Xenopus tropicalis: one gene and its partner. The protein of the gene in region 2 binds, or shares a complex with, the protein of the main gene of each other region. Links are inferred from orthologs where the notes say so. Each region holds a gene or a part of one and is shown on either strand. Other genes may lie near its edges.

Evidence for each region.
Region 1: the proteins of nfs1 (region 2) and iscu are in contact, whole or in part, in a crystal structure (PDB 6W1D), measured with the Homo sapiens proteins. The link is inferred for Xenopus tropicalis from reciprocal best matches to the Homo sapiens genes NFS1 and ISCU. Residues at the interface, in NP_066923.3 of Homo sapiens: Tyr360, Val361, Glu362, Glu364, Ser365, Leu367, Met368, Ala369, Lys371, Glu399, Asp400, His403, Ser404, His429, Arg432, Leu433, Glu435, Met436, Ser437, Pro438, Leu439, Glu441, Met442, Trp454, Thr455; in NP_998760.1 of Homo sapiens: Tyr35, Val40, His42, Tyr43, Glu44, Val49, Gly50, Ser51, Leu63, Val64, Gly65, Ala66, Pro67, Ala68, Cys69, Gly70, Val72, Lys74, Phe90, Lys91, Thr92, Phe93, Gly94, Cys95, Gly96, Ile99, Lys135.

What each region holds. Positions count from the first base shown.
Region 1 is NC_030677.2:146,311,007-146,325,950, reverse strand, and holds iscu (iron-sulfur cluster assembly enzyme ISCU, mitochondrial), read right to left. Parts: upstream 11,156-14,944; 5' UTR 11,127-11,155; coding exon 11,037-11,126; intron 6,926-11,036; coding exon 6,812-6,925; intron 6,028-6,811; coding exon 5,917-6,027; intron 5,612-5,916; coding exon 5,533-5,611; intron 4,738-5,532; coding exon 4,655-4,737; 3' UTR 3,714-4,654; downstream 1-3,713.
Region 2 is NC_030686.2:42,808,584-42,824,556, forward strand, and holds nfs1 (cysteine desulfurase, mitochondrial), read right to left. Parts: upstream 15,613-15,973; 5' UTR 15,592-15,612; coding exon 15,501-15,591; intron 13,524-15,500; coding exon 13,447-13,523; intron 12,761-13,446; coding exon 12,644-12,760; intron 12,104-12,643; coding exon 12,020-12,103; intron 11,256-12,019; coding exon 11,103-11,255; intron 11,022-11,102; coding exon 10,928-11,021; intron 10,803-10,927; coding exon 10,668-10,802; intron 10,180-10,667; coding exon 10,022-10,179; intron 9,054-10,021; coding exon 8,948-9,053; intron 8,222-8,947; coding exon 8,140-8,221; intron 7,605-8,139; coding exon 7,521-7,604; intron 7,066-7,520; coding exon 6,976-7,065; intron 6,480-6,975; coding exon 6,416-6,479; 3' UTR 4,202-6,415; downstream 1-4,201.

The DNA of each region.
Region 1 (14,944 bases), on a different chromosome or scaffold from region 2:
AGAGTTAAAGGGGAGTGTTTTTTTTTTTTTTTTTTTTACTTTTAGTACCCAGGGCTAGGGCCTCAGCTCTTTCCTCTGCTATGTAACCCTTACTTTCCCCAAATTAACTGTCCCCCCCATAGTGCCTTGTAAATTGCAGAGCTGTGCAGTGTGTTGTCACATCTGCTCCCAGGTTGGAATATTTTTCAATGGCTGTAGTTATTCTTAAATATAATTGCTGAAGTACCAGGTAGGTATCAGAGAGCCATCTGCTAATGACAGCATGATGACTATAGAAAGCATGCAGTCCAGTCAAACATGTAAGAGGGTGATATTGATTATTATTCTTTATTTACACAGTGCCCCCCTATTGGGCAGTGCTGTACAGAGATTATACCTTATACACATCAGCTGTTGGATGATCAATATCACTATTGCGACTGCTTTCAGAATTCCTACCGGCACTGGCTGCCCAGTCCTAGCATCTGCCTTGTTAAATGTTCTGCTCATGTAACAATTTCTAACAACTGTTACACAATATAATCTATGTTTTGGGCTTTCAGCCACATTTACCCCCAAAATGCCACTGTGATGTTGAGGGGCCAAGAGAGTTTAAATAAGCAAGTTACTAAATAAAACAAAATTTCTATTTTTCATAATTATGTTTCTTTAATGGAAAATGGTTCCTAAAACACAGTGCAGTATAGAAGTATTTCAATACTGCTTTACTGAACATTTTAATAAATGGTATGTAGTCTATTTAAAGTAGCTCCAGTTTATGACATGCTGAATATCTTTAAGAGGGAGAAAGTTTACTTCAGTAAAAATGTATACACCGCACTACACCATGAGGAAGTATTGATCAAGCAGCTGAGTCGGTGGTACAGTCTATTTTAAAACCTTGGTCTTGTTTCCCCTGCTTTCTGTACAAGACTCTAAAATCCCAGGCAGTTCTCTCACTTCAGAAAATAGGCCAAAGTAAACAGATGCCTGGGCCAACATGCTCAAGCAGTGACGAGATGCCTTAAAAATCCAGTTCCTTTTTTTCTCCCTAGGAAGTAATAAAATCAGCCTACAGAAAGACATTGATGCTCACAATTTTTTCATACTCTACTTGTAACACTGTAACAAAAAAACATTAGCGTTACACAGTTTATGAGTATAAAAAAGAAAAATGTGAGCATCAATGTCTTCCGGTAGGTCGATTTTACTACTCTACAACAGCTTGTGCTGTAATGAAGCAAACCAGAGTCCCCCACCCCAATCATGGTTGTATGGAGAGAACAGGTGGGTACTCCACTTTAGCAGGGTGCCTCCAAGTTGTGGGACTGAAGAATCAGATATTTCTATCTAAAGAATGGGCAAGTGATATACTAAGCACTTTACTGCCAAGGCTCTTTGATCTCACTGCACTGTGTTGGCAGGGTTACGGCACAGATCAAAGAGTAACCCAGAAATGTTAACTCTATGGCGACAGCAGTCGGGTACCTGCAGCAGAGAATTTATGATCTTTGACAGGCAAGGGGGTAAACATATATAACCGAGTGACGTATATGGCCTCACTTCCTGGGTTGATCACACAATCTTCAGACTTAGCTAAGTACCAAAATATAAAGGGTAGCTCACCATGAAATTAACACATTATCAAAATTTAGTAGTATAATGTGCCAACATATCTGTACAAATTAAATCAATACAGGAGATAGTGTTCTTTATGACCATCTGCAATTTGTCTTTCTGCTATGCTACATTCATCTGTTACACCAGACAGACATGCATCCCTCTATGCCAGTTGTTCCTACAGGGGTCTGAAGCATTGAATGGCTGGGGGATGGGGGGGATTCAGCCTGAAAACAAGGTACAGTGAAAATTAGAAAGAATTGCCTGTTTGGGAGGGATATGCCTATAACTCCAATGTGAAAGTGTATTAGTCTGTAATATAGGAAAATAACTTAACTGCTGCCCTGAATATTATCTTTATGACTAAATGGCTAATAAAGTAATACTTTCATATATTTGCAACTTATTTTGAACTAAGGGAGCCCAGTTCAAACAGTGAACCAAAAGATCCTCTCCTGTGTAGTAACAAAATGGTTAGAAATCCCTAACTCACATTCTTTAAGTTGTAACGACCTCTGCTGGTGGAAGGCTTGTTTCCTGCTTCCTTTACTAATACTCGTGAGCATTTTTTTTTTAAGTTTAATATACCCTAGGTTAAAACTGCCAATATTTAACAATTGTGTTTAAAGTAGACATATAGGATTAATGGGAAAAACGCTTTTTGTAGGCAATTATGAATAATATACGGTGCTGGTTTCCTTTTGTGCTAAAAATTAATCCTCTATAAAAATGGCCCCTTTATTGGAGCTCCCTATAGATCGTATCACTTCTCCGTCCCGTGTGAAATGGAGTGGGCGTGTACTAACGGTCCCTGCCAGAAGCACAGTAGGAGGGGTGAGCCAATCACAGCCCTGCAGTCACACAAGCACAGGTCAGCCAAGTTGCTGATTGGTTCCTATCCTACAGTGCAGTGTACTGAGGGCCGCCGGCTCCCCAGCTCATCCAGAGAATTCTGCCAGCAGGAAGTGGAACAGATGGGCGGGGCTATTGGGGTTTTTGTGGAATTTCTCAATAAATCAGTCAGAAACACAATTTTTTAAGCACATTCCTTCTATATCTAGAGGAGTATAATTCACTGGTACATTCATAATTTTTATAGGATATGTCTCCTTTAAAATGGATATCCACCCCACCATATGGATAACAGAAAAAAAAAAAACCAATAAAGCTGCCCATACACTCACCGATCATACAAAACTTAGGTATTGTTTGATTTTTGGACCATGTGTGGGCTTCCAACTATCGTCCTGATAATTTTCATGATTACTTGTTTAGTTGATGGGACGGTTAGAAAATTTTAGTCAGATAAAAATAAAATCTGTGCATGTATTGTGTATCGGACAATATACTTGGGGGGACCTACAATGCATTTCCAGGAAGTCACTTTCGCCAACTATTTCATGTTCAGAACATCCTCCGATTTGTTATTTTTATGGCTTTATCCTACAATTTCAGTCTGAATGTTAGTTTTAGATCGTTGCATTTAAACGTATGATGGATATCTGAATGTCCATCAGAAGAAGGCTAAGATCTGAACATGTATGGCCACCTTAAAAGCAGTGGTTAACCTTTTTAGTTAACTTTTAGTATTTGATAGAATGCCCAATTCTAAGCAACTTTTGGTCTTATTTATTTATTTTATAGTTTTTGAATTACTTGTCTTCTAACTTTTTGCAGCTTTTAAACAGGAGTCACAGACTCCGGCAGCCAAAAAACTACTGCTCTGTGAAACTAAAGTTTTATTGTTATTGTTACCTTAGTAAGGCCTCTCCTATTCATATATCAGTCAACCAAATAGCTGCTGAAACTCCAAACAGGAGAGCTGCTGAACAAAAACTGAAATAATTAAAAATAAAAATAAAATTGCAAATTGTCTCAGCATATCACCCTCTGCATCATAATAAAAGTTTACTTAAAGGTGAACCACCCAATTAAGGCTGTGCTTCCTGCTTCATACTATTTAAAATATTATAAAAGAGTTGTCATAATTTATGGATCAGGCATAAATGGTGCCTATACCATGCTGTACAGTTAGCAAATATGCATATATCTACACACACCCACACAGCAGCAAACTATCTAAAATACAAAAAGACAACACATATAACACTTTCTTTTTTTATTATCTTTTACCAAATATATACAAAAGCAAAAGGCAGCTGGTCAAATGCACTGCATACAAAACTAAGAAGCATCATATAATCCCTGCTTTCGATTCTACCAGTATCATTCTGAGTACTCAAAATGGGGAATTTTCAGGGCTGCTGGTATGATACCTGGAACATGCCACTCCCTATTAAAGGCCCAATGTAATTAACTCAATGTACTTTTCTCTGGCAGGATATGGCTTAGCAAACCCAGTCTTGGTAACAGAAGGAGGGGATCAGGGGCTTCCAGTCAGACATTTAATTTTCAAAAATGAACCTTTCTGAGAACAATTGCATTTCAGTTCAGTAAGAGCCACACAAATTGGATCAGAACACAGTGGCAACGTTTGTTTGATTCTTGTAATTCAGCATGGGTTTTATATTGTATTATGAATGCATAGCCATTTATATACAAAACCGTACAAGACTTATCAAGAACTCAAACATAAGGGTGCTGGAAACAGACGGGGAAAAACCACACATCCTCACAATCGTTGTGCATCTGAAGATGTGCGTTGTGGCATTTCCCAATAATACTTAAACAAAAACTAGATGACTAGATGAAATTTCTATATTACTTTACGTGGAAGGTATGACAAACCTGGCACTGTAATGTAGTGCCATGTGTTTAAACCAGAAATTACATGTGAACAGAGGATAGGTGGAGGTCTTGGACATTAGGGAATAAAGAACAAAATAGTTTTGTTTATACACTCTAAGTATACTCAGCTTGCAAATTGAAAATAATCACATTATTAGGAGGAGATTCACACAGTTTGACAAGCTGCTAAATAATTGTGCGTATCAGAAGTCTGCCATTCAAATGGTAAAGACATGCTTTAATACCCAAAAGAACAGCATAAAGTGACTAAATGTTGCCATTATAGTAGAGCTCACACTCTGCTCAGCTAGCCACTTGCTGCAGCTTCGTCTTTATCCTGCTTCAGTCTGTAATCTGCCAGGGCTGCTCTGATGGCATCTTCAGCCAGCACTAAATAAAATGGAAAAAACATAGGCACAAAAGGTTACAAGAGACAAATCAGAGATGAAATAATGTGCAGAAGAGTTAGATAAATATATTAACTAGTTCATAACTAATACAAGATGTTTAAATAAAATATTTTTCAGTCTTGTTAACTGTGGCAGTGAGTTAGTTAAAAGCCTCTGAAACATTCCCTGCACCTTGTCTTTGGTTGCTTGTTGACAGTATTGCTGCAGTAAACAATATATAATGAGCAGTGGGATATAAGCCTCCCAACTATGCCCTTTAGAGTGATGGCACCCCAGAAAGTCGCCCGCCCAGGATAAATATGCAATCAAAAGAAATGCATACATTTTCCCACCAGCAATCTAAATTATTACATTAATGTTGCCCATGGTAGTGAAGATTTATTTTGAGCAACTAATTTCCGTGTGTGCCATCACTGTTAAAGGTGACAAAAAAATTCCCTCTTCCCATGTTTTCACCTACAGTGCCATCACCACATGAAAACTCCACTGCCTCTCCTATGGAATTAGAGTGACACTTCAAAAAACAGCTGTCAAAAAGCTTAGTCAGTGTGTTATGGCACCTTTAGCACTATTCTGTACACCTCATTGGAAAAGTAAATGAAAATCTACTTTGGGTCCTAGTGAAGGATTCCTAGTGAATCTATGCACCTGATCATAGAAGCTGCTGAGACAAACATTTTCTGCCTAATCTATAAAAAGCATTATTTTTACATAAAAATATGCAGGAAATATGATAACATTCATAAGTCTGGTAATACAGAGCAAAGACCCTTACTGGAACAGTGCAGCTTCACTGGTGGAAGGCAGAGTTCTTTGGCTATGTCTGTATTCTTGATAGTCATAGCTTCATCAACCTGTGTTTAATATAAACAAATAATACAATATTAATTAGCAAAAAAACAGGCCATTACTTTACCCTAAACAGTCTAATGACTCCTGTCTAAGTGTATATGACTTGCCTATCTGAATATACTCATTAGAAACTTTAGAGTGGCAGTAGAGCAGTATTAAAGAAATGCTATTTACATTATAAGTGTAAGTGACTTATTTTAACATCCAAGTCATGTGTGTCTAAATATCATGCTAATTCACAAGGGATAGCTAAATCCCTTACTATAGGGGCAGTGAAGACATTTTATAAAAGCAATTGTCATGTTACCGTTTTTCCCTTAACCCATTCTGTGGCAAGAGAACTGGAGGCAATGGCAGACCCACAACCAAACGTTTTGAACTTGGCTTCAATAATCTTTCCATTGTTGTCCACTTCAATCTGTAAGGTGAAACACAAAGCAAATATCAGTCTGATAATAACTACCATCCCAGTACAGCACTAAAAAATGGGCCTTAGAGGATAAAGTAGCAAGAAGTATAAAAAGTAAAGAATATGCTGTTTGCCAGTGTTGCTTGTTCACTGCATCTGTGTAAAAACTCTTTAAACCTATGTCTTCCATGAAGAAATAATAGTACCTACAACAACAAAGCACTGAAGAAAGCAGGCCAATATAGAGTATGGGAAAACCTGTGTCTAAGGTTCATAATGTCATACATCATGATTTGTGGAAAAAGTTACAAAAACAAAATGTTACGTTTTAAAACTTTATTGGAAAACGGGTGTCCGAGATTCACAATTTTGTCATATGGGAAAATGTCTGCCTGACATGAATTTTAGGAAAAAATTACAAAAACAAAAAGCTAAGTTTTAAAAATTTCCATGTACACAACTAATCTGGTTTTCAAACTGTAAAGTTCATATGCAAATCTGGTGAGTTCTAAGTGAACTCTTTGTCCCCCAATCAGTGCTAAAAAAAACCCAAAATATATCACATGCCAAATTAGCTATATTATACTTATACATCGTTTTAAGTGAGATTTTTAATCTGTAGCGATTCTTAAGAAAATGGTAACCAGTCCTTAGATGACCTAGGTATGGTGGCCCTACAGAATAATGAGCTGTTTCTGTAACCAAGAGGAATATGAAAAACACAAGAGAGCTACAAATCTTAGATTCAACTCTAGTTATGAAAAGCCATTTCACATTAACACTCAGCATTTACCTGTAGTTTCATGACATCACCACATGCTGGTGCTCCCACCAACCCAGTCCCAACATTCTTTGCGTTCTTGTCAAGGGATCCAACATTTCTTGGATTTTCATAATGATCAACTACCTGTGAGGAAATGCCGGTATACAATTTACTTACATAATACAAAGAAGTTTGAAAAACTTGAGGTCTAAGTACTTTTCAGCATGAGAAGGAAACACAGGTCTATCAACTGAAATGCTTGGGAGCTGGTGTGTAGGAATAGGTGGTTTTCCAAAATTTGGATCATACCGTATCTTAAAATAATACTGTCATGGGAAAACATGATTTTTTTCAAACCCATCCGTTAATAAAGCTTCTACAGCAGAATCCTGCATTGAAATCTGTTTTTCAAAAACATTCCTTTGGTGTTTGGCATTCTGCTCATGAACAGTAGAGAACATTTCACAGGTTTCCCCAGTGCACACGCATGAACAGGTATTGACGCAAAAGACACTGGTTGGAATGTAAATAAAATGCTGGCGCAGCGCTGATACCATTTTTTCCCCACAGGCCGGTGCAGTTTTCTTATAACAGGAGCACCAGCCTGGGGAAAAATAGTGATCTGTTTCACTGGAGGTGCCTAATCCACAGCTTAGAGCAGTGATCCCCAACCAGTGGCTAATGCGCAACATGTTGCTCCCCAACCCAATTTTCTATTTAGAAGTACCCAATTAGCACATACTACTAAAAAAGTATATTTTTACGAAAATGGTTTATTTAGATGAAGCAGGGTTTTACTTATGAACTTGTTTATGCAATATATTTTTATAGAGACCTACATAGTTTCCTTTAAATTGTTATTTTTTGTTAACTATTTATATGGCAAAGATTGTTTATGTATTGGTTAATGTGAACATATTTAAGTGTTTTAGAAAAGGTGAACAACCTTTTTAAGTCTACTAAAAAACTTTAAACAATAAACCCACTAGCAATGTTGTGCGACCAATATGGATTTATGCAGCTTAGTTACCGTAAAGTACATGGCATTGTTTTATTACTACTGAGAGAAAGAAAATCCTTTTTACAATTTGCTTAAAATGGAGTGTGCAGACTTTCTGGGTATTGGGTTTCCAGATACGAAATCCCATGCCAGTATACTAGTATCACTAGTCTAATTTTGTTTAAATTTTGTTTAATCAGAGTGAGAGGGAACCTAGGTTGTCATACAGCAAATGTACCTTTGGGCACAACAGAAGGTTTATATCATGCACATTGAGTACAAACATATGTACAGGGGTTTAGTCACCATTTAAATGCTGAGACAAAACAACCAAGCATCTTTAACAAGCAGTTATTTTTGCATGCAGAATGGTAATTTTCTTAACTGTCTGTTTAGAACACACATTTGAAGCATCGGCTTACACTTTGCTACAGATAGATGTATTGATATAAAACCCATGATGTCATAGCTAATGCATCAACATTTTGTAGTCATTTCCAGTTTTATCTTCTCTTAATAGACTTTCATTAGTCCTTATAGAGTCTATTAAGAAGACAATATTTCCTTTGTCCTTAGAGGTGATGTTAATTTAAACAGTTAAAAAATATGCTCTTGAGTGTAATGCAAATAATTCTGAGGCCTGTAATTACACTGGGACAGAAACACAGCAATCTGTATAAATATGGCCAAGGTTACTTGGCCATCTTCTGTGCCCTCTATGATTATGTGACAAGTGACAAATTAAAAAGAACTTGTGGTCTGAACAAGTCACAAGATGTTTACTTCTGCTGCTAATCTTGTGGCAACAAAAAGTCACACATGGTTGCAAATCTATTACAGATGCCAGGGAACAGTGCCAGAGAACAATGAAACCTACACAAACGTAAGCTTGGCCACAAAATCTGAAAAAGTCTAATTAAAGGAGAAGGAAAGGCTAAATCACTGAGGAGAGTCAAATGTTAGGCACAAGGCACCAGTGATTGTAATCACTTACGTGAAACCCCTGGCTGGTGCTCCTGTTACACAGGCAGGTGAGCGATCCTCTTCCTTCCTAACATTTTGGCACCTACCAGTGATTATAACTTTTGTTCTCCTTTAAATTATTACTAACAAAAATGAATTAGTTTAAAAAAAAAAAAAAAATCTGTACAATGTTTTTTTTTTTTTATTGCTTGCTGTGAAAAACTATGGAGTACAAATGGTACTATTCAGCATACAGAGATACTGCTGTTAATAGTGAAATGTTCTGTCACTATATTGACCCACATTTTTATGCCAGCCTTGTTTACAACGTGAATACAAACATTACATTTCTGTAAAATAAGCACCAAACCACTTTTATTGAAATGCTAGATTTAACCCTGTTTTAGGGAGCACTGCATATAATTAGTTAGATCTAGGCCTATATGGGTTAGGGCAGTGACTCCCAACCAGTGGCTCGAGAACAACATGTTGCTCACCGATCCCTTGGATGTTGCTCCCAGTGGCCTCAAAGCAGGGGTTTATTTTTTTAATTTCTGGCTTACAGACAAGTTTTGTTTTTTTTTTTGCATAAAAACTATGTGCACTGCCAAACAGAGCCTCCTGTAGTCTGCCAGTTCACATAGGGGCTACCAAATAACTAAACACAGTCCTTATTTGGTAGCTTATGTACCTTAACTTTGGTACAAAAGTTTTTGTGTAAAATTGCCATTTGCTCAGTTAGTATATAAGCTGCAAATTTAATGGAAGGCAATGAATGCTGAGCCCCTGTAAACACTTGCATCAGATTTTATCTTGTAAACAACAAACATCTGTAATATCTATAGCACAGGCATCACAGTGCTTTAGTTCTTTCAAGGAGAGTTACAAAGGTCAAAACACCTATCCTGACCCATACTTCATTCCCATTCAAAAGAATGGCAAAATCCCTATCTATACTATGTGCTGTCGTATTAACCATCAGAGCATTTTAAAAGTCATATATCTCTAAATTGTTTTAAATACTTTTAACTTTTACTAAATACCGGTGCCAGTGAATATGGGTGTTTTGGTCTTTACCAAATCACAGGATTGCCCTCATCCAGGAAAGATGTAGTTAAATATAATGTCAGGTCTGCCAATCAACTAGCAGCGAAGGAATGAAACTGACCACCCCCAAGATGAAGATTAGCTATCATGCCACAATCCAAATTGTATGTGTTGTTGACACAGGAAAGCAGCCAAAGGAAATAAAGTGGCACAAATTCTTAATGAAAACAAAAAGTAATTTAGAGATGTATAATTTGTTTTTGACAAATGTGTTTTTGCTTGCCAAAAGTGCCTTGTATGAGAAACTCACAACAGGTATTGACAGAAAGATAGCCATGCATACTTTTAATGATATTTTTTGCAAAACTGTCTATAGGGGCAGAAAAATAAGTCTGAGAATTTGGCATCACAACCACAATATTTCCTTTTCCTGAATTCTCCCGTAAATGTCCCCTCATAACCTTGAAACACTTCAGCTACCGTAGTGGTGCAGTGAATTATATTTATATATGTACATTTGATACTGACACTAAAAAACTACTCTTCAAAATACAAATGTCCACGAAAAGTTGCCTATAGGTCATGTTGCTCGTTTTTTACCGAAAGAGCTGCATTTGTGAGTAATTGTTACTTGAAGTCCTAAACCAGTTTTACCAACCTGACTGTCCCTTCTTAGCCAGTCAGTTATAGCTTGTAATTCTAACGGACAGCATGATGAATACTTTTCTGGCAAATTAATCAATAGCATGCAAAGCCTATGGTATGACAGAAGTAAAAAAAAAAAGAATACATTTTTGATGTCAGTATCTCTTATGGCAAACATGTCTTACTTAGCATAAAGTTTTACCATATTCCCTATACCCTCAGAGTGCTAGAGTCAGTCATTGTCAATTCCTATCAGTTGCTAACTCGGCTTCTCTCTTGAGACACCTTTTCTCTCAAGCCATTCGGGGAAGTGAAGCTGACAACCCCACTGGCTGCTGTTACTGTATTTCACCACAACCGAAGCTGACAGCCTTCTATTAAGAATTAAAACGACTCATGTTGTAGTCCTCTGTAAAGATGGTTACGGTGTTAAAAGATAAACGTGTCGGCTTGCATTGGCAATAAGTACTTTATAGTATGGGCTGCGAGGCGAGCGCTGTCACTGTGACACCTGTGTCACCTTATGTAACACTCGTTTCCTGCTCCCACACTACCCTGTTCCGTATTGGCCCCGTACGCCCCACGCACAGCGCTGCATACCTTCTTATGATAAGAAGCACAAGGCACCCGAAACTCGTGCACCCCACATTTTCTCCATAAGGAGCAAAACACCCGGCCCACGCCAGCCATAGCGTCCTCCACTCGCGCAGCTAGCAAATAGGGACGCGGCGTGCCAACGCCACACAACGTGCGGGTCACATGGCCTGAGGGGGCGTAACCAACAATAAAGTTTGTTGCAGCCAGGTTGCGTAATAAGGTTCAGCGTTCTATTATGTGTAACGTTGAAGTGTGGAGCTGTCATGTACTTGGGCTTTAGCTCATTCTGCAGGGATAAGTTTCTTTTGTTGCCCTATAACTTTATTAGGTTTACCAAGTTCAACCGCAAAGTCAAGGGACTCTTTATGCCTATTATCGCTAACGTGGAAGTGGAATTGATGTAGTTTACATCCAGTAGTGTAATAAAGTAGCGCGATATCGGAGTTGGTTTTGGTCAGTTTTTTATTCCAGGCTAGAAGAACCTTTGTACGTATTTGTCATAGACATGGGTGTCCGCAAAAACTGCGGGGAGGAAGAGTCATTAAGTAAAAAGCAAACTGTGTTTTACGTACGTATTAGGTTTATTAGCAAAGCCTGTAACGCTGCTCGCAACTAATAAGTGTAGAACCAGGGGGCTGTTTAAAGTGATGGCTCACCTTTTATTTCACTTTTAGTTTGTTATATAAAGGCCAATTCTATTAAACTTTTCAATTATATATTCTTAAGTCTTTATTATTTGTTTCCATAGTTTTTGAATTACAGTATTTGCCATCTTGTTCTCTTTGCAGCTTTTAAAAGGGGATCACTGACACCTGAGACAAAAAAACTATTGCTCTGTGAAGCTACAGTTTTATTGTTTAATTCTTTTCTCAAGGAGCAGGTAGCTGAGAAAAACCAAGGACAAGCTGGGCAATATGTTACATTTCAACACCGATCTGGGTCAGGTGTGTAGAATTCTAGGGGGGGGGGGGGCAAGTGGCCTTCCTTGCCTCTTTTTGCAGAGGCCTATGGCCATGGACAGTTTGTGCTGGGCCAAGTCGGCTGGGCATCCTAGGCAACCCAGCCAGCCACCTCACCCCTTTGCATGCATGCATGCATGTTGACTACTGGGGAGGTAAATGACGAGTGGGAAGTGGGAGGACAAGAGCCCAGACTAGTGACAGGTTACATTGTACCCTGGGCACATGCCTCTTCTGCCAGACCCATTTCTAGCCCTACAGAAAGTCACTATATATTGGGCTGGTGCAGGGTTGCTTGGGCCTCTATGTGCTTTAAATCAGGGGTTCCCAACCACCGGGCCGGGGACAGGTGCTGGGCTATGGGCTGTGCTGAATCGGGTCACCTCTGGTCCCACACAGCCATGACAACAGCTATGCAAAGCCCAGGAAGCTTTCTACTGATTGCTACAAGGACCAAAGTACTTAAAGGAGAAGTAAAGGCTACCAAAGAGTTAATCTCAAGCTGCAGGCTTACCTTCAGTTGTCTCAATAGTGCCCTCAAGTCTCCCCATATTGCAATCGTTCAGATGATCAGAAGCCAAACGTGAAAAAAAAACGCCGAGCTGGGTAAAGAGGATTCCCATAATGCATCGCTCCTGCACAGACCCTATAACCCAGGACACTAGGCGGCGCATGCGCATGTCTCTCTTCAGTGACACAAGCAGGCATGCTCCCCTACCATCTGAGCTGGCCCCTATGAGCGTGCACCATTAGCCGGACACAGAAGGAGCAGGCGAGTGCTGCGGGGAGCAGGGGGGGAAGTTTGGTCGCCGCAGGGACGATGCTGGGGGGAGCTGGAGGATGCGCATTTAGGTGCACAAAAGATCCAAGATGGCTGACGCTACAGAGTGCAAATAGAGCAAAGTTAAAAGGCACATTTTGGGAGAAGGGAGCATTATTTTAAAAAATAAAGTTGGCAATCTACTACAGGCAAGGGGGCTCTACAATATATTAAGGGCTATAGTAGAAGCCTTTCCTTGCTCTTTAGAGCTCCATACTAACCGGCAGGGGATGTCACCACTTAGGTAAGAGTAAGAAGAGCAAAGGGGCTGGGCGCATCTAGTTGCAGGGAAACAAGCTCAGGTCTCCCACTGATATTATATATGATTATGTATTATGATAGCTGTATTAGATTTTATAATGTAGTAATATTAATAAAATAAAGTGCATAATATAAAATGAAATAATTACATTTACATTATATATGTAATAATTAAATTATATACTATGCACTAGTTGCGCCACCCCCCATTCCCGGTCCTTGGAAAAATTGTCTTGCTGGAAACCAGTCCTTGGTGCAAAAAAGGTTGGGGGCCACTGCTTTAAATGACAGGAACTATTTTGAATCCTAGTTAGGGCCTGCACTGGTTCCATGTGCCAATTGTTCCCCTGACCCACACAGAGACATTTTGGATGTCCCAAACCCATGGCATAGCGATATGAGCTTGGCATCCACCGCAAAAATGCTGAACCCCCACCACATGGGGAGCAGGTTCAGACCCCACTATTGATTTTTTTTAAGGCATTGAATTGTGCTTTTGGGACTAGAAATGTTTAATGTAAAGCAGTGCAAGTGTGTTGGCATAGCTACCAATGTGTGACTGTAGGGTATTGCAACAGAAAAACATGACACAGCCCTAAAGCAGACCATACACGTAACAATTTTTCCTTTCTTAACTATCAATTCCAGTGTGATATGACAAAACCATCAAATTATCATAAGGGGAGCGTGCACTGAGTGATTTATATCTAGCAATCTTTCATCTGATATCAGTCAGAAAATCTATCATGGTATATTGAAATTGCTCATTAATTAGGGCTTCACTGGGCCCTTTATACTCCTGGGCCCCTCTGCAACCACTGGGTCTGCTTCCTCTGTAGTTACGCCCATGTCTGCTGCCCTTGGCACCACTGATTCAGCGCTCCTTCAACTCTGCTTATCCTTTGGGATCCAAGAGACTGCACAGTCCTGCGACTGAATCCTGTGTTTTTTTGTCGCACCACCGCTCCCTCTCCTTGCTGGAGTACCACAAAAATATCTACCAATAAAATAAAGCAGGAGTTGCTGTCAATGCTCCCTGCTTATTATTGTCAGAGCCCTGCTACAAGTCCCCTGACAGTGATAGAGCTGCATAGTAATAGTTCTGCATCAGAAGCTTTGCTTTCCTCTAGTGATGAGCAAAATTTTTTGCCAGGCATGGATTCACATTGGAATTCCACATTTCGCCATTGGCAAATTTTTTACGAAACTGAGCTGACAAAAAGTTTGGGGTATGTGCTCTGCCAATGGGTCCAGGTCTGGACTTTGGCAAATGCTGGAGGGGCTGCTGTAACATCCTATATATATTCATTATTTATGGGCCCTGTGGGGTGCTGTTTGGGCCAGTGCATTTATTTTGTATTAAAGGGGTGGTTCACCTTCTTATTCAAACCACTCCCTGAGTACTCATTCTGGGGGTATAGTTTTCCTATAAGGTGAAGCCTACCTTTTTTTCCTAATTCCACTTTTAGGACCTAGTGTGGAATCAGGCAGTAGAGCCCTAAGCAGTCTGCAACCCTCCCCATACAGCAATCCACAGACAGGGTTGGCAGGTTTTCCGCCAAATTGGGCTACTAATTTAAAGCCCAGGTGGGTTTCCAAAGTACCAACCTGCCATGGTACATATTTGGGCTAGTTTTTGGAGCCTTGGTGGGTTTGTAGTTTGAAAACTAGCCAAAGTTTTTTTCCTCTGACATGCCTATCACAGTGCATGCTGGGTTTGTATCTTACAATTAGCCTACAACTAAGATTAATATAAAATTACAATACCCAGCATGCAATTATAGACAGAAGCTTCTCTTTGCTGAACCTGAAGAACTACTATAACCTGGATGGACTGGGCACAGAGGGCAGGGAAACATCAGTCATACCAG
Region 2 (15,973 bases):
TAACGGCTATGCTAAAGTCGCGACAATTCCCGAAAGTCATAATGGCCATGCTAAAGTCCCGACAATTCCCGAGAGTCATAACGGCTATGCTAAAGTCCCGACAATTCCCGAGAGTCATAACGGCTATGCTAAAGTCCCGACAATTCCCGAGAGTCATAACGGCTATGCTAAAGTCACGACAATTCCCGAGAGTCATAACGGCTATGCTAAAGTCCCGACAATTCCCGAGAGTCATAACGGCTATGCTAAAGTCGCGACAATTCCCGAAAGTCATAACGGCTATGCTAAAGTCCCGACAATTCCCGAGAGTCATAACGGCTATGCTAAAGTCGCGACAATTCCCGAAAGTCATAATGGCTATGCTAAAGTCGCGACAATTCCCGAGAGTCATAACGGCTATGCTAAAGTCACGACAATTCCCGAGAGTCATAACGGCTATGCTAAAGTCGCGACAATTCCCGAAAGTCATAATGGCTATGCTAAAGTCCCGACAATTCCCGAGAGTCATAACGGCTATGCTAAAGTCACGACAATTCCCGAGAGTCATAACGGCTATGCTAAAGTCACGACAATTCCCGAGAGTCATAACGGCTATGCTAAAGTCGCGACAATTCCCGAAAGTCATAATGGCTATGCTAAAGTCACGACAATTCCCGAGAGTCATAACGGCTATGCTAAAGTCACGACAATTCCCGAAAGTCATAATGGCTATGCTAAAGTCACGACAATTCCCGAGAGTCATAACGGCTATGCTAAAGTCACGACAATTCCCGAGAGTCATAACGGCTATGCTAAAGTCACGACAATTCCCGAAAGTCATAATGGCTATGCTAAAGTCGCAAAATGTTTGTTTCCAATCGGATTTTTTCCCATTCAGAATTCGTGGATTAGTAAATCAGCCCCTGAGCAATTTACCAAAATATAATGATGTTAAAAAAAGGCAAAACACAAGGGTAAATGTATTTGCTATTGCAAGCAGTGAAGTCAGTTGATCACACAGTCAGAACCAGCAGTACACAGGCAGACTCCCAATAGCCATTACATACACAAGTAACAATGAATGAATGTACACTGGAAAGCTGCTCATTGTACAATTTGAGTTTCCCTTGGAGTAAGCCTGCAGCACCTACACACACACACACACACAAATAAAACAAATGCTGCAGCGATATCTGGCTTGTAAGTTATGAACTACATCTCCCAGCATCCTCCGTGTGTCACATACAGCACGGCCTACACAACCATAGCTGCGCCCCACAGCAATCCCCTAGCTTTCCCCACACAAGCACAGCAGCAGCAGGTTCCCGCAAATCCTCCCATTTCCAGGCCTGCGCTTCCCCCCCACAGACACGCTGAGGTAATTGGGGGTTCTCTTACCGCTCTTATCTGTTCTACTGAAAGATAACAAGTAAGACAACACTAGGGGAGGGTTCTCTCCCCCTTCCGTTCTTTCGCTTCTCCAACGGCTGAGGCGGGCGACGATATTTAGGGTTTATCGCCACCCTCCTTTCTTCTCCACAGCAGCCGCACAAAGATGGCGGCCGCTCCGCTCGGTGACGTCACTGGGACACTGCTCCTCTCGCTCCCGCGAAAGCGTGTGAGAGGGAGGCTGGAGGGGGCGGGGCGCGGCTCAGGCGGTGCTGTGAGGTAAAAAGGGGTGGGTAACATAACAATACGACCAAGTGTGCCGCTACTGTAGTTATGTTGCCAGATTTTCCACCAAATTGGGCTACTAATTTAAAACCCAGACGGGTTTCCACAGTACAAACCCACCAAGGTACAAGTTTGTGGATTTGGCGGGTTTGTAGTTTAGAAACTAGCCGAAGTTTTATTCCTCTGACATGTCTATCCCAATGCATGCTGGGTAATGTAGTTTGTAAGTTACTATTAGCCTACAGCTAAGATTAAGATAAAACCACAATACCCAGCATGCAATTATAGACAGAAGTTTTCTGTTCCTCTTTGCTGAACCTGAAGCAGCAAAGCTATTATAACCTGAATAGACTGGGCACAGAGGGCAGGTAAACATTAGTCATCCCTACAACTGGAGAGGGGGTGCAGGGCATGGGTAGTGATTATATGCTTTAAAAAGGCATGTTTTCCCATTTATACTTTTATTTTTTATTTATTTATTTATTTAATTGTGTATATTGGGCAATCTGTGGGTTCAGGCAAATGCCAGAGGGGCTGCTGTAAGATGCCATAGTCACTATTTATTGGGCTGGGGGGGCTGTTTGGGCCTCTGGGTACTTGGAATGCCAGGACCCAGGCCCAGACTGGCAATTTGTGGGTTCAGGCAAATGCCAGAGGGGCTGCTGTAAGGTGCCATAGACACTCACTATTTATTGGGCTGGGGGGGCTGTTTGGGCCTCTGGGTACTTGGAATGCCAGGACCCAGGCCCAGACTGGCAATCTGTGGGTTCAGGCAAATGCCAGAGGGGCTGCTGTAAGATGCCATAGTCACTCACTATTTATTGGGCTGGGGGGGCTGTTTGGGCCTCTGGGTACTTGGAATGCCAGGGCCCAGGCCCAGACTGGCAATCTGTGGGTTCAGGCAAATGCCAGAGGGGCTGCTGTAAGGTGCCATAGTCACTATTTATTGGGCTGGGGGGGGCTGTTTGGGCCTCTGGGTACTTGGAATGCCAGGGCCCAGGCCCAGACTGGCAATCTGTGGGTTCAGGCAAATGCCAGAGGGGCTGCTGTAAGGTGCCATAGACAGTCACTATTTATTGGGCTGGGGGGCTGTTTGGGCCTCTGGGTACTTGGAATGCCAGGGCCCAGGCCCAGACTGGCAATCTGTGGGTTCAGGCAAATGCCAGAGGGGCTGCTGTAAGGTGCCATAGTCACTATTTATTGGGCTGGGGGGGCTGTTTGGGCCTCTGGGTACTTGGAATGCCAGGGCCCAGGCCCAGACTGGCAATCTGTGGGTTCAGGCAAATGCCAGAGGGGCTGCTGTAAGGTGCCATAGACAGTCACTATTTATTGGGCTGGGGGGGCTGTTTGTGCCTCTGGGTACTTGGAATGCCAGGACCCAGGCCCAGACTGGCAATCTGTGGGTTCAGGCAAATGCCAGAGGGGCTGCTGTAAGGTGCCATAGACAGTCACTATTTATTGGGCTGTTTGGGCCTCTGGGTACTTGGAATGATATGCAGGTCAGAAAAACTGCAACCCGCATCAACTTGTACAATGTTACCACTACAGGAACCTGTACCTGTGTATTTCTGCTCCATATACTACTCTGCTTCAAAGAAAAAGAATTTTCAGAAGCAGAAGACAATTGCCCTCCCTACTCCCAACCTAAATGCACACTGGTCACCCAAACTTAACCTAAACCCCCGGCTCCAGATGGTTTTGGCTCAACCGAGCCATGCCTGCTCATTTCCTATATAGAGCAATGTTTTATGCACACAGTTACCAGGCTATTAAATTCTACCAAGAAATATCTACTGTGGCCTATCCTGTACCATGTTTCATTTTACAATAGGAGGTAAATTATAAACTATATTATACATGACCACACCTATCAGTACATATAAAACTATATGCATATACCTATACAGCTATGGGACCTGTTACCTAGAATGCTTGGGACATGCAGTTTTCCAGATAAGGGGTCTTTTTGTAATTTAGATCTCCATACCTTAAGTCTACCATAAAAATCATTTAAGCATTAATTAATCCCAATAAAATTGTTTTGCTTCCATTAATTTTATATCAGTTGGGATCAAGTACAGGCACTGTTTTATTATTACAGAGAAAAGGGAATCATTTAACCATTAAATAAACCCAATAGGGCTGTTCTGCCCCCAATAAGGGGTAATTATATCTTAGTTGGGATCAAGTACAGGTACTGTTTTATTATTACAGAGAAAAGGGAATCATTTAACCATTAAATAAACCCAATAGGGCTGTTCTGCCCCCAATAAGGGGTAATTATATCTTAGTTGGGATCAAGTACAGGTACTGTTTTATTATTACAGAGGAAATTATTTTTAAAAATGAAAGTTATTTGCTTATAATGGAGTCTATGGAAGATGGCCTTCCCGTAATTTATAACTTTCTGGATAACAGATCCCATACCTGTACAAAGCTGTATATCAGAATATCACTGTTGCCTTAGTTATCCAATCTATAGCTGCCAAAGTAATGGTCACATTGCTTTATTCTTGTGATTTTTAAAACCAGAAGGAAACTAAAAGAGGGCATTGTCAGAAACACATTTATTTTCTTCCAGGTATAGTACATGAATGCCAGTGTATACCAGCCACAATCAACACCAGTGGGTTTTACAATGTATGCTTTACTTAATAATAATAAAGCTTTACTTTATTTTTATAGAATTACACTCTAAGGCAGTTTTCATCAACCCATAGCAACCAGAGAACAATGTCAGTCTCACTTTTGACGGAGGACCAATTAAGAAATAAAAAGACAAACAATACAAACACAAACCAACAAAAAAAAATAAAATAAAAGGTGGCCATACACAGGATGATTCGCTCATTTGGCAGGGTCACCAAATGAGCAGATCTTCTTCTGATATGACCACCTAAAGGTGGGTGATATCAAATTACAAGGCATAGGCACTGTCAGATCGAGGACCGCATCAAGAAGCCAATGTGGTCCCGATCCAGTGAAAATTGAACCTACCCGATCAAGATCTGCCCAATTTTAGAACAGATAGGCAGCTGAAATCTGCCCATGTATGGCCATCTTAAGACCAACTGCTAAATTCCATAACGCTAAAGGTGAAATGCCTCTTCTGCTAAGATCAGACCAAAATATCTAGGCTTAAGACAACAGAGACCCCAATGCTCAATAACTGCCCCACAAGAACTCACACACATTAAGCATATTGCATCAAGTTGGAGAGCGCAGTGCCTCCTTGTGCGTATAGAGAATGCAATACATAATGGGTGTGGTTTTCCCAGTAAGGACTGGTTGATATTAGCGTCACTTATGTCGAACAGCCAACAAGAAAGAATCTGTAAATTGTAGTAATTGTAGATTTATTTATTTACATTTTTTTTTTTCAACTAAAATATATTTTCTTCTTGTAAATAGGCAAAGTCCAGCAAAGGACCCAGGAAAGAATCACCCTTTCTCATGCTACAAAAATATATTAATACTATTATCCTCTGTATAACCTTTTCTAGCAAGGCAGCACAGGGAAGAAGGTGAGTTTAGGGTAATGTATTTAAATGGAATCTGCCTTATTTTAAACAGATTATATTTTCTGGTATGATCTATATATTCATGTATTTTTTAACCCTTACTTTCCACCTAAGAATAATGAAGGAAACTGGGCCCTTCCTACAAGACTAGTATGGCTGATTATCAGGCAGGCTTGGAAATCACATTGGTCAAGGAACATATGAGCAGCAGACAGTGCCCCACAAGTTGGCAAAAAAGACGCTCCTTGTAAATTTAAGAGACATATTTCTGGTTATAAAACAGAAATTTGTCTCTTCTAGTCAGATAGGGCAACTGCACTCTCTGCGTTAGTGATGCAGCCCCCCCAGACCCTGTAAGTTCTGGGGGCGCCATCACAAGAGCCACCTCAAAAGGATAGAATTGCCCCTCTGGGCTCGTTGACGTTTCCTCTCCTGACTAGTCTCTCTGTAGGACCATAGAATGATTTGATTGTTGCCCTTGGGTGGGGGGCAAATGATTGGATCAACCAGATTTGACATATACTTGTTTAGCAACCTCATCATATGAGCAGACCTTTATGTGTATGGTCAGCATAAGGCAAATAAGGAAAAAGTTTGTTATACATGGTGTTTAACTAGGAGAGGAAATTTTTGCAGGAATGTAATTCTAAAACTGATTGGCACTAAAGTTATATTGTCTCCCCCGAGCCCCTTCACTTTTGTAGACCACCAGCAGTGTTTCAGTAGCAGCGATTAGGCCAAAGCACTAACGTTTGCCCTATAGTTTGCCAAGCCCCACATCACCGATACATCTAGGAGGGCCACAGGTTGCCCAAGTCAGGCTTAAATACAACTGTTAAAAATTAGGGTTAAATTGAGCAGTAATAGTGCATCCCCTTTATACAGCAACTATTTACACACTACTCATAAGGATCAAACATGTTTTTTCTGTTTTATGTTTAATTTAGTTAGGTTTGGTTTTTATCCAGGCTCTGCATACCCTTTCATTGTACTGTAGTACAGAAACCTTCACTGTTTCACGCAGGCGTAATATGAAGGCAACCACTGTGTATATTACTCGAGCCTTGTTCTATAAGCTCAATACTACACGGAGAGTCGAGGCTACAAAGATCAGACAATGGCATCTCCGGAAGCAAAAGGCTGGTAACTAAAGTAATAGCAAGAGTTTGTGTAACAGAGGCCATAGCACAGAGCTATATGGCACAGAATCCAGCTGGAACCGATCCCCTGTAGGCTGCCGTTTAGTGCTGAGTCCACTTTATGCTCTTTAAGTCAATTCCGTCCTGGACCATCTCCCATAACGGGCTGCAAAGAAATCAGAGAAGGTGAATCACTGCTATATAAATCCAGAACAAAACTGGGCCCACAGTGGGGAAAATTTGCACATCATCAAGGAACATTAATGTCTACATCACATTAAAGGTTAATTCTGAAAAGAGAACCCTCACCCTTTATAAACATTCTTTAGGTGGCCATGCAATGGCAGATTTAAGCTGCCGATTTGGCATCTTATCTGCCCGTGTATGGGGCCCTCAAATGCGCCTCCCTAACCGATATCTGCCCAAAAATTGGCCAGATGTTGATTGGGCCAGGATTGGACCGGATTACTCCGATATTGTCAATCTAAGGGGGTATATCGGAGAAAAGATCCAATCATTTGCTGACCTCATCAAACAAGCGGATCTTATACTGTATGGCCACCTTTAGTCAGTAGTTCCTGCTTAAAGCAGACTACCTATATCAACTACTGACGAGTATTCCTTTAATCATTCCCTCTAATTACAGCGTATATCTTCCTCACCTCATCTCCCGCAGCCGTTTTACTTCTTCAACACACTTTTTGACTGTGTAATCAACTTCTTCCTCAGTAGTAAAACGCCCAATGCCAAATCTAATGGGCAGAAATTACAATTTACATATAATTTTGAAAATATACAAAGTTCCACAGTCTCAGCAGGGCTATAAAATAGAAGGGTTTATAAATCACACATACAGCTTACATATACATAGACACATTTAAGATCATATCTGGTCAATGTAAGTCCTAGACATAGATAGTAGAATTTCTCACATGCACACCCAAACCTCTCCAGCAAGTTAGGGGGGACGGCACCAGTGTCAAAACGCTGAACCAAAAGGGATTACCAGCACAGTGACACACAAGGGTGGATTCCCTGCTTGTAATCGCAAACACTGCGCTGGTAATTCCTTTTGGTTCCTAGACTTTTAGTTGCCTTGATGTATGGTGCTTCACATTACGGAAAGATCATTATCCTATTTGGGCACAAAACATTCTTCCAAACATAAAACAAGTAGCAAATTAAGATACAGTGAGTAAAAACAGACCTTATAGATGAATGCGCCAAGTCCTCATCAGCACCGATCGCACGCAAGACGTAAGATGGCTCCAGAGAAGCGGACGTGCAGGCGCTAGAGGCAGAGGGAAAAAACAGTTATTCCAATCACAGAGAAATTTTTTTATTTAATCTAAATTTAAAAAAGTGTTTCTTACAGCATTGGATCCCCCTAAAATTGGCTGTATAATTAAATATATATATGAGGCAAAGGGGTTGCAAGGAGTTACAGGACGCTGTGTGTTAGTAGGGCTATAACTTACCAGGCATTGAGATTCTGGCTGTTGGAAGTGATATATATTAATATCAGTGCTTTACAACTGTGAGGCTGCACTGGATCAGGAGCTGGGGTGAGATTTTGGGGGAATGCCTATTGCCAGCTTGGAGAAAAGTCTGAGAGTTGGAGTAAACATGTATTTGCTTTCCTAGATGTTCTTGGAACTGTGGCTGTATGACTGATAGATCAATGTTTTCCCATACATATAACATGAGCTGAGAGTGTCCCTGCCTGAAGGTTGGACCTCAGATGGGGGTTTGAATAGAGAGACTAAGAAACACTGAATTAAGCTGCCATTTAATTACAAAACAGAAAACAAATGTGTGCTCCATACCTTCCAGATGATAAGGCCACATCTTTAAGGGCCATCAGTAAGCTTTCCCCTTCCACATAAGCAAAGGAAAGGTTTATGCATCCTGTGGGGGCAAGAAAGTGTGATTATTTTACAGTTATATAATGGCCACAGTTTACATATCCCAAAAGCTACAGTTTCAACAGTCAGAAAAATGTTAAGTTCCATCACGGAAAGTAAGACATTAATCACAGTGACTGATGCAAACTACAGGTCATATACAAAGACAGATGGAAGACTGTAACCAGACCATAGGAAAACTTGGCACGTAGGGTGTTCTGCCCACTACAAGCAGTCAAACACCCCCTTTGCCTGTTACAGTTCCTAACGTTATACAATGGCAAGTGAACATTTGGGCACAGAGGTCTAACTGTCACAGATGAGTGTGTGTGCCACCCAAGGCCATTAATGTTGTGACAGGTGGAGATGGGCTTACAGCTGGAGGGCACTGGTGGTCAAAACACCCCGAAAACCTTAAGCTATGTGGAAAAGAATCCCAGTAATTGTCTGAGTCAGGAAATGTAACCATACAATAAGCCCCGTAATATAAGCCTGACAATTCATTTCATGCCCTTACAAGAGGACAGGCTGTTGGCTTACATACGGGACATTATTTTCTAATCAAGTGGCAAGGTGGCTACTTTCCGGTTCTAAGATTTTAGCTTTACCTGCCCTGACTTTTCAATGTTTACAGCCATTTTTGATGCCCACCATACAAATCAGTGTATTAGGCACAAATAACAAAGTCCCTTAGCTTAACAAATGCAGCTGGGGGAGGGGAAGGTATTACCTGGGTACCGATGCTCTGCATCTCCGTTTAAAACAACTTCAGGAATTTGGCTCATTATATTCTGGGTGAGTCTTTTGGCTAGAGCACTGATTCTTCTGTGATCATACTGTAACATAGATGTACAATTGTAGAGTATTAATGCGCCAATGCACAGGAGATAGTACTCATTTCTGCAACATTTCTCCACAGCAGCAAAAGCAATAAAACACATGGTTTAGGGCATGGTTTCCTCTCAAGGCAACTTTCGGGGGAAATTCCACTGGCGATTTACATTCTCGCCGGTGGGATGGCATTTCGGGGAGATTAGTCGCCCGCAACAAGGGAGATTTGTCGCGGACGACTAGTCTCCCCGTGTGCCAGAGCCCTTAATATAATTTGTATTGTATTTTTTTTTTTTTAACATGGGTGAGAAGACTGAGAACTGCTTAGGTTGTTCACCCTGCCAATAAAGTAAGATGGGGGCACTGTGATTCTGATTCTCCATTCAACATGAAGAATCTCAATTTCCTTTCATAAATGGATTACACACATGTATTTTGGAAATTCAAAATCACTGGGGGCCAATTTGTTAGGTACCCACTTCAGTAACTACATTTGCACCCCAGGTTGATGCCTCTTTTACTCCATTTACTCAGCTATCCCTTGCTCCTCCCGGACACATGTACAGCATAGTAACTTATCAGGCACAGCTGTACTGCACTGTACATCTGGAAAGAAATGTGTGCCCCACCCAGTAATGTGGCAAGCCTTCTCCTGTAAGATATGCTCCAATATTTTTTCTATTCGCTCCCCTGTATCCAGAGGGTTCCAGAAAAGACCATCAGCACTGGCTAGTGAACTTTTATGTTGTGCCTAAATGTGAATCTACACAAATAAAGATTAAAAAAAATAAACACTTAAGGAACAAGCAGATGAATCTAGCGGCTTCAGTTCCCCTTTAGTACAGGAATAAACTGAATCTGCTACATAAACAAGGCATGGCATGTCACAAATATAAAGAGAAAAATCCCAGTGCCGCCTGCATACAGGCAGGTAATTGGCTGGGTCAGACTGGTGTTTATTATGTGTACTTACCTCTAGCTCTTCCTGAGACACTTTGCATGCCGCTCCGAGACCAACAACAAGAGGTGCTGGCACCGTCCCAGAGCGCAGGCCTCGCTCTTGGCCCCCACCACTGATTAAGGCCTCCATTCGGACTCTGGGTCTACGTCGGACATAGATTGCTCCGACTCCTGAATATAAGGAAGTATCATTGTAATAAAGCTTTACAACATGCCTATATAAAAGACACATGGCCTACACAGATGATGGAAATACATCGCAAACACTTAAATGGGAAGACTGAATTGAACTGAATTAACTTCTAGTACATTCCAAATGTCTTCATATTTTTAAACTTTTTCAAATATTAGCCTTTAAATTCTGCTCCTGTCCAGCCTGCAAATGGGAAGGCTCTCTGGTTACTGGACTCACTGTCCCTGGTCACAGAACTCCAGAGACTTCCAATAGTCTTATCATTTTTTACGTGTATCTATCCCTCGATAATAATAATAATGATGATAATAATAATCATGTACTTTATTTATACAGGTATCAGAGATTCCTGACTGTACTAGATAAGAGAATAAGAGTTGGATTTTTGCATTTTAATACTGCTGAATGAAAAGGTTAAAAGATAAAGAGGCAATAAGATATAGAGGCAATAAATTCTATCCAGTACCTTTGGGTCCATAGATTTTATGGCCACTGATACTCATCAGGTCAATCTTCATTTGGTTGACATTAAGGGGAATTTTGCCAACGGCCTGAGCTGCATCTGTGTGGAAGAAGATCTTGCGGGAGCTGCAGATCTGCCCTGTGGGAGGAGGGGAGAGACAGGAGTATAGAAAATACCACCGTACACAACCAGCCAAGTGGAATTTCTGGTTCTGGTTCTGTAAGGAACCCCCAGAAGCACATACTGACAGAGGGTACAATTACCTATCTCTTGTATGGGCTGCTTTACGCCTATCTCATTATTCACAGCCATTATAGATACCAGGCTTGTATCCGGCCGGATGGAATCTTCTAACACCTAAAGACAAGGATTGGATGAGACTCAGTGGGCAACAGAGCGCAATCATGGTAGTTAAGGAAATCGGCACTGTCACCTCACCTTTAAATCCACGAGGCCATTCTTCTGCACAGGCAGGTACGTAACTTGGAATCCCTCGGCCTCCAGGGAGCGGCAAGAATCCAGCACGCACTTGTGTTCCGTCTGGGTTGTTAGAATGTGTCTCTTGCGTGATTTGTAGAATTTGGCAACACCCTTCACGTAATGCAGAGACCTTAATGAGACGTGTGGCATTTGCTTCTTAACGTACAAAATTATATTTTGAGGAATTATGGCCATGGGGAAAATGCAAATAACTAGGAAGTGAAATGATATTCACAATGGGATTCAATCCTACCTGATCCCCATTGTAAGCAGCAGTCCTGCCCTGCTTTATGGCTGAGATTCTAGCTATCTGTATAACAGAGCATTCTGTCACAGTGGCACAGATCCTATCTGATCCCCCCATTGTAAGCAGCAGTCCTGCCCTGCTTTATGGCTGAGATTCTAGCTATCTGTATAACAGAGCATTCTGTCACAGTGGCACAGATCCTATCTGATCCCCCCATTGTAAGCAGCAGTCCTGCCCTGCTTTATGGCTGAGATTCTAGCTATCTGTATAACAGAGCATTCTGTCACAGTGGCACAGATCCTATCTGATCCCCCCATTGTAAGCAGCAGTCCTGCCCTGCTTTATGGCTGAGATTCTAGCTATCTGTATAACAGAGCATTCTGTCACAGTGGCACAGATCCTATCTGATTCCCCCATTGTAAGCAGCAGTCCTGCCCTGCTTTATGGCTGAGATTCTAGCTATCTGTATAACAGAGCATTCTGTCACAGTGGCAGAGATCCTATCTGACCCCACCCCATTGTAAGCAGCAGTCCTGCCCTGCTTTATGGCTGAGATTGCAAAAACTTCCCTACACTTAATACTGAAACATTGTGGCATGACAGCATCCCTTTAAACCACCGCTGTTACCTTAAGTGCTAGATTATTGGATTCTGTGGCGCCGCTTGTAAAAATGATCTCCCTTGAATCTGCTCCGATCAGAGAGGCAACTTGCTGCAGAAATGAAGAAAACTGGAGTTAATAGGAACTCATAAAAGCTGACAGCACTTTCCAAATGTAAAAATCCCTTATTTCATTAATCCAGGCTACAGTACTGAGCAATATTTACCATATGTAGCTTGCCAAATACTGCCATCTAGTGGCCCAAACTACCAATGAATTAGTTTTTGAAGACTTTTAATAACAAATGTGGGCAGCGGATCATTTGATATCCAAGCACATAATGTGGCTGGTTGTGGGCCACAAGCTGCCACATTATGTGCTTGGATATCAAATATCAGATTCTTATAAAACATTGATGTTGTACAGAACATTCTGAGCTCATCTTCCTTGTGATAGAGGCCATAAAAATCTTCTGGGGGCCCCAGGAGATTTTTATGGCCTCTATCACAAGGAAGATGAGCTCAGAATCTTCTGTACAACATCAATGTTTTATAAGAATCTGACCCCCAGCCCACAAACACGTAAAAGAGCAGATAACTGGAGTGGCCCACAGCATATAAAATACAGGACACAGTTCTTGCAATATACTACCTCACGAGCTTTCTCCACAGCTTTCTCAGTCTCCCAGCCATACGCATGGGTCCTCGAGTGGGGGTTTCCATAATAGTTTACCATATAAGGCAACATTCGGTCCAATACCCTGGGATCCTGTAGGCCGAAAGATCATTGAAAAACGCTCTAGATAATCCATTACATTCTTTAGAAACAGGACCTTTAAAATAAGGATGCAGTCCTGTCCTGCTTTATGGCTGAGTTAGAAAACTTGAAACCCATTCTTTACATCACTGCACGAGTTTGAACTATTTACCGGATTAATTGGTATAGAAAAAGAAAGATTAGCAAGGCAACTGAAGCAGCATCGCAGCAGTTTTAAAATAAGTCCTTCATAATAACTGTATTACCACAGCACACTGGCAGATTTCAGACATTTTGTCAAAATGCAGGAATTGCCCTTCTCTGCTGAAAGAAGACCAATATTACCCTGTGTATTACCCTTCCCTACCCTATTAGAAGCCCTTCATAATAAAACATTGTGGCCGGACAGTGTCCCTTTAGGGTAAGAATCCACGGAGCGACTAACCACTCCAAAATGGCTTTCCACCGGGACAATAGGAGTCACTGGTGAAAAGCCATTCACATTGCAGTCCTGCCCTGCTTTACGGAAAATGAAGCGATGAGAAGGGCTTTCCCCTAGTGCCACATATTGTTGCTGGTGGAAAGCCCTTTCGGTCCGCGGGTTCTTACCCTTAAGCCAGAGCACAGCATTTGGTTTTGATGGGGATCAAAGCAATCAACAATAGTCATGGAATGAAATACGATTGGCAGATACAGACCAATGAGGTTGTCGCCTGAACATCCATATATAGAGGGCGGAGATTCGACTCCTCTGGCTTCTTCTGAACCCGCCACTCTGCAGAAAAATTATGAATAGAAATAAAAATGTGTTTCATTGATTGGCGCCAGTGTTCCCAACGCAGTGCAGCCCGAGGGCCCCAATATCCCGGCCATTCAGTATTGGCTTTTCCCTTGCGTACAGAGATTTCTTTAGACTCTCGGAATCTGTTAATGATATTATGTACTGTAGCTGAGGAAATGAGTGTTTGCAATTTTATGTTGAGGAACTTTGCAAATCATCCCATTCTCTTTTTATTGCATGTAACACAGCGTGACAATAGGTTTGGGAAATGGCCTGGCACACAGTATTGCCCCCCTCTATACCAGGCCTTAACTGTCCCAGTCCCTTGGAATAACCTGCAATGTATGTTTGTGCATATACCTGCCCCAAATGTCTCCTTTATTCTACAAATTACACCCTATTTCCCCACCTAACTGCTCTTAGCTCCTCCCCTTGTTTCCACAGAAACAATCCTATCTATGGGCCTTATTAGTTCATCCTGTGCCCCTCCATGCCTACCCCTAATCCCTCAGTGCCCCCCATGCCTACTCCTAATCCCTCAGTGCCCCCCATGCCTACCCCTTATCCCTCAGTGCCCCCCATGCCTACCCCTAATCCCTCAGTGCCCCCCATGCCTACCCCTAATCCCTCAGTGCCCCCCCATGCCCTACCCCTAATCCCTCAGTGCCCCCATGCCTACCCCTAATCCCTCAGTGCCCCCATGCCTACCCCTAATCCCTCAGTGCCCCCCATGCCTACCCCTAATCCCTCAGTGCCCCCCATGCCTACCCCTAATCCCTCAGTGCCCCCCATGCCTACCGCTAATCCCTCAGTGCCCCCCATGCCTACCCCTAATCCCTCAGTGCCCCCCATGCCTACCCCTAATCCCTCAGTGCCCCCCATGCCTACCCCTAATCCCTCAGTGCCCCCCATGCCTACCCCTAATCCCTCAGTGCCCCCCATGCCTACCCCTAATCCCTCAGTGCCCCCCCATGCCTACCCCTAATCCCTCAGTGCCCCCCATGCCTACCCCTAATCCCTCAGTGCCCCCCATGCCTACCCCTAATCCCTCAGTGCCCCCCATGCCTACCCCTAATCCCTCAGTGCCCCCCATGCCTACCCCTAATCCCTCAGTGCCCCCATACCTACCCCTAATCCCTCAGTGCCCCCCCATACCTACCCCTAATCCCTCAGTGCCCCCCATACCTACCCCTAATCCCTCAGTGCCCCCCATGCCTACCCCTAATCCCTCAGTGCCCCCATGCCTACCCCTAATCCCTCAGTGCCCCCCATGCCTACCCCTAATCCCTCAGTGCCCCCCATGCCTACCCCTAATCCCTCAGTGCCCCCCATGCCTACCCCTAATCCCTCAGTGCCCCCCATGCCTACCCCTAATCCCTCAGTGCCCCCCATACCTACCCCTAATCCCTCAGTGCCCCCCATACCTACCCCTAATCCCTCAGTGCCCCCCATACCTACCCCTAATCCCTCAGTGCCCCCCATACCTACCCCTAATCCCTCAGTGCCCCCCATACCTACCCTAATCCCTCAGTGCCCCCCATACCTACCCCTAATCCCTCAGTGCCCCCCATACCTACCCCTAATCCCTCAGTGCCCCCCATGCCTACCTTAGTACCAACCTAACCAGACCACACTAAAGCCCCCATCCCTGTATGCCCTCAGCACCTCACTGCCCATAGCCCTTAATTACATTGCTTACCTGCCCCCACATGACACCATTACAGTTGCCCCAGAACCCCTAAATACCCCAGACATTAACACCTTACTGTCCCCACACTTATATGACAGCAGTGAGAAGCCCTATTTGCCCCCAGTCCTGTCACCCACCACAGGTCATGTGACGAGCTGCTTCCCCACGGTGCGGCCTCCCCTCTCCCCACGGTGCGGCCTCCCCTCTCCCCCCTGCGGCCTCCCCTCTCCCCCCTGCGGCCTCCCCTCTCCCCCTGCGGCCTCCCCTCTCCCCCTGCGTACCTCTCCTTTCCCCATGACAGGCCCTGACACCGCGGCTTTGCTCGCAACTCCCCGCCCTCAGGAGGCCCCGGACGGCTCCCCGGCTCAGCATCTCCCCCAGTGCAGCGCTGGGACTTGTGTAACAGGACTGGGTACAACACAGGTAGGCCGGGGGCGCAGGTAGGCGGGGCTGGAGCGCAACTTCCGGTAGGGGAGGAGCCAAAAGGCGTCAGTGGGAGGCTGCGGGCCTGTTGCACTAGGAGCTGCCGGGGACATTACAGAGGTGAGTGCCCAGCGTGGGCCGGGGCTAATGGTTCCCTGACAGGAGCGGGGGGAACCGGGAGATCAGTTCGGAAAAGGGGAGTCTTGCGAGGGGGCAGGGGGTATATTATGGGCTCTGGGTACAGTAGGGGGGGGCAGTAGATGGATGGGGTATTTATTGGCAGGGGCTCTAGCTAATACCCTGCAGTGGGGGGGCTGGGGGTATATTATGG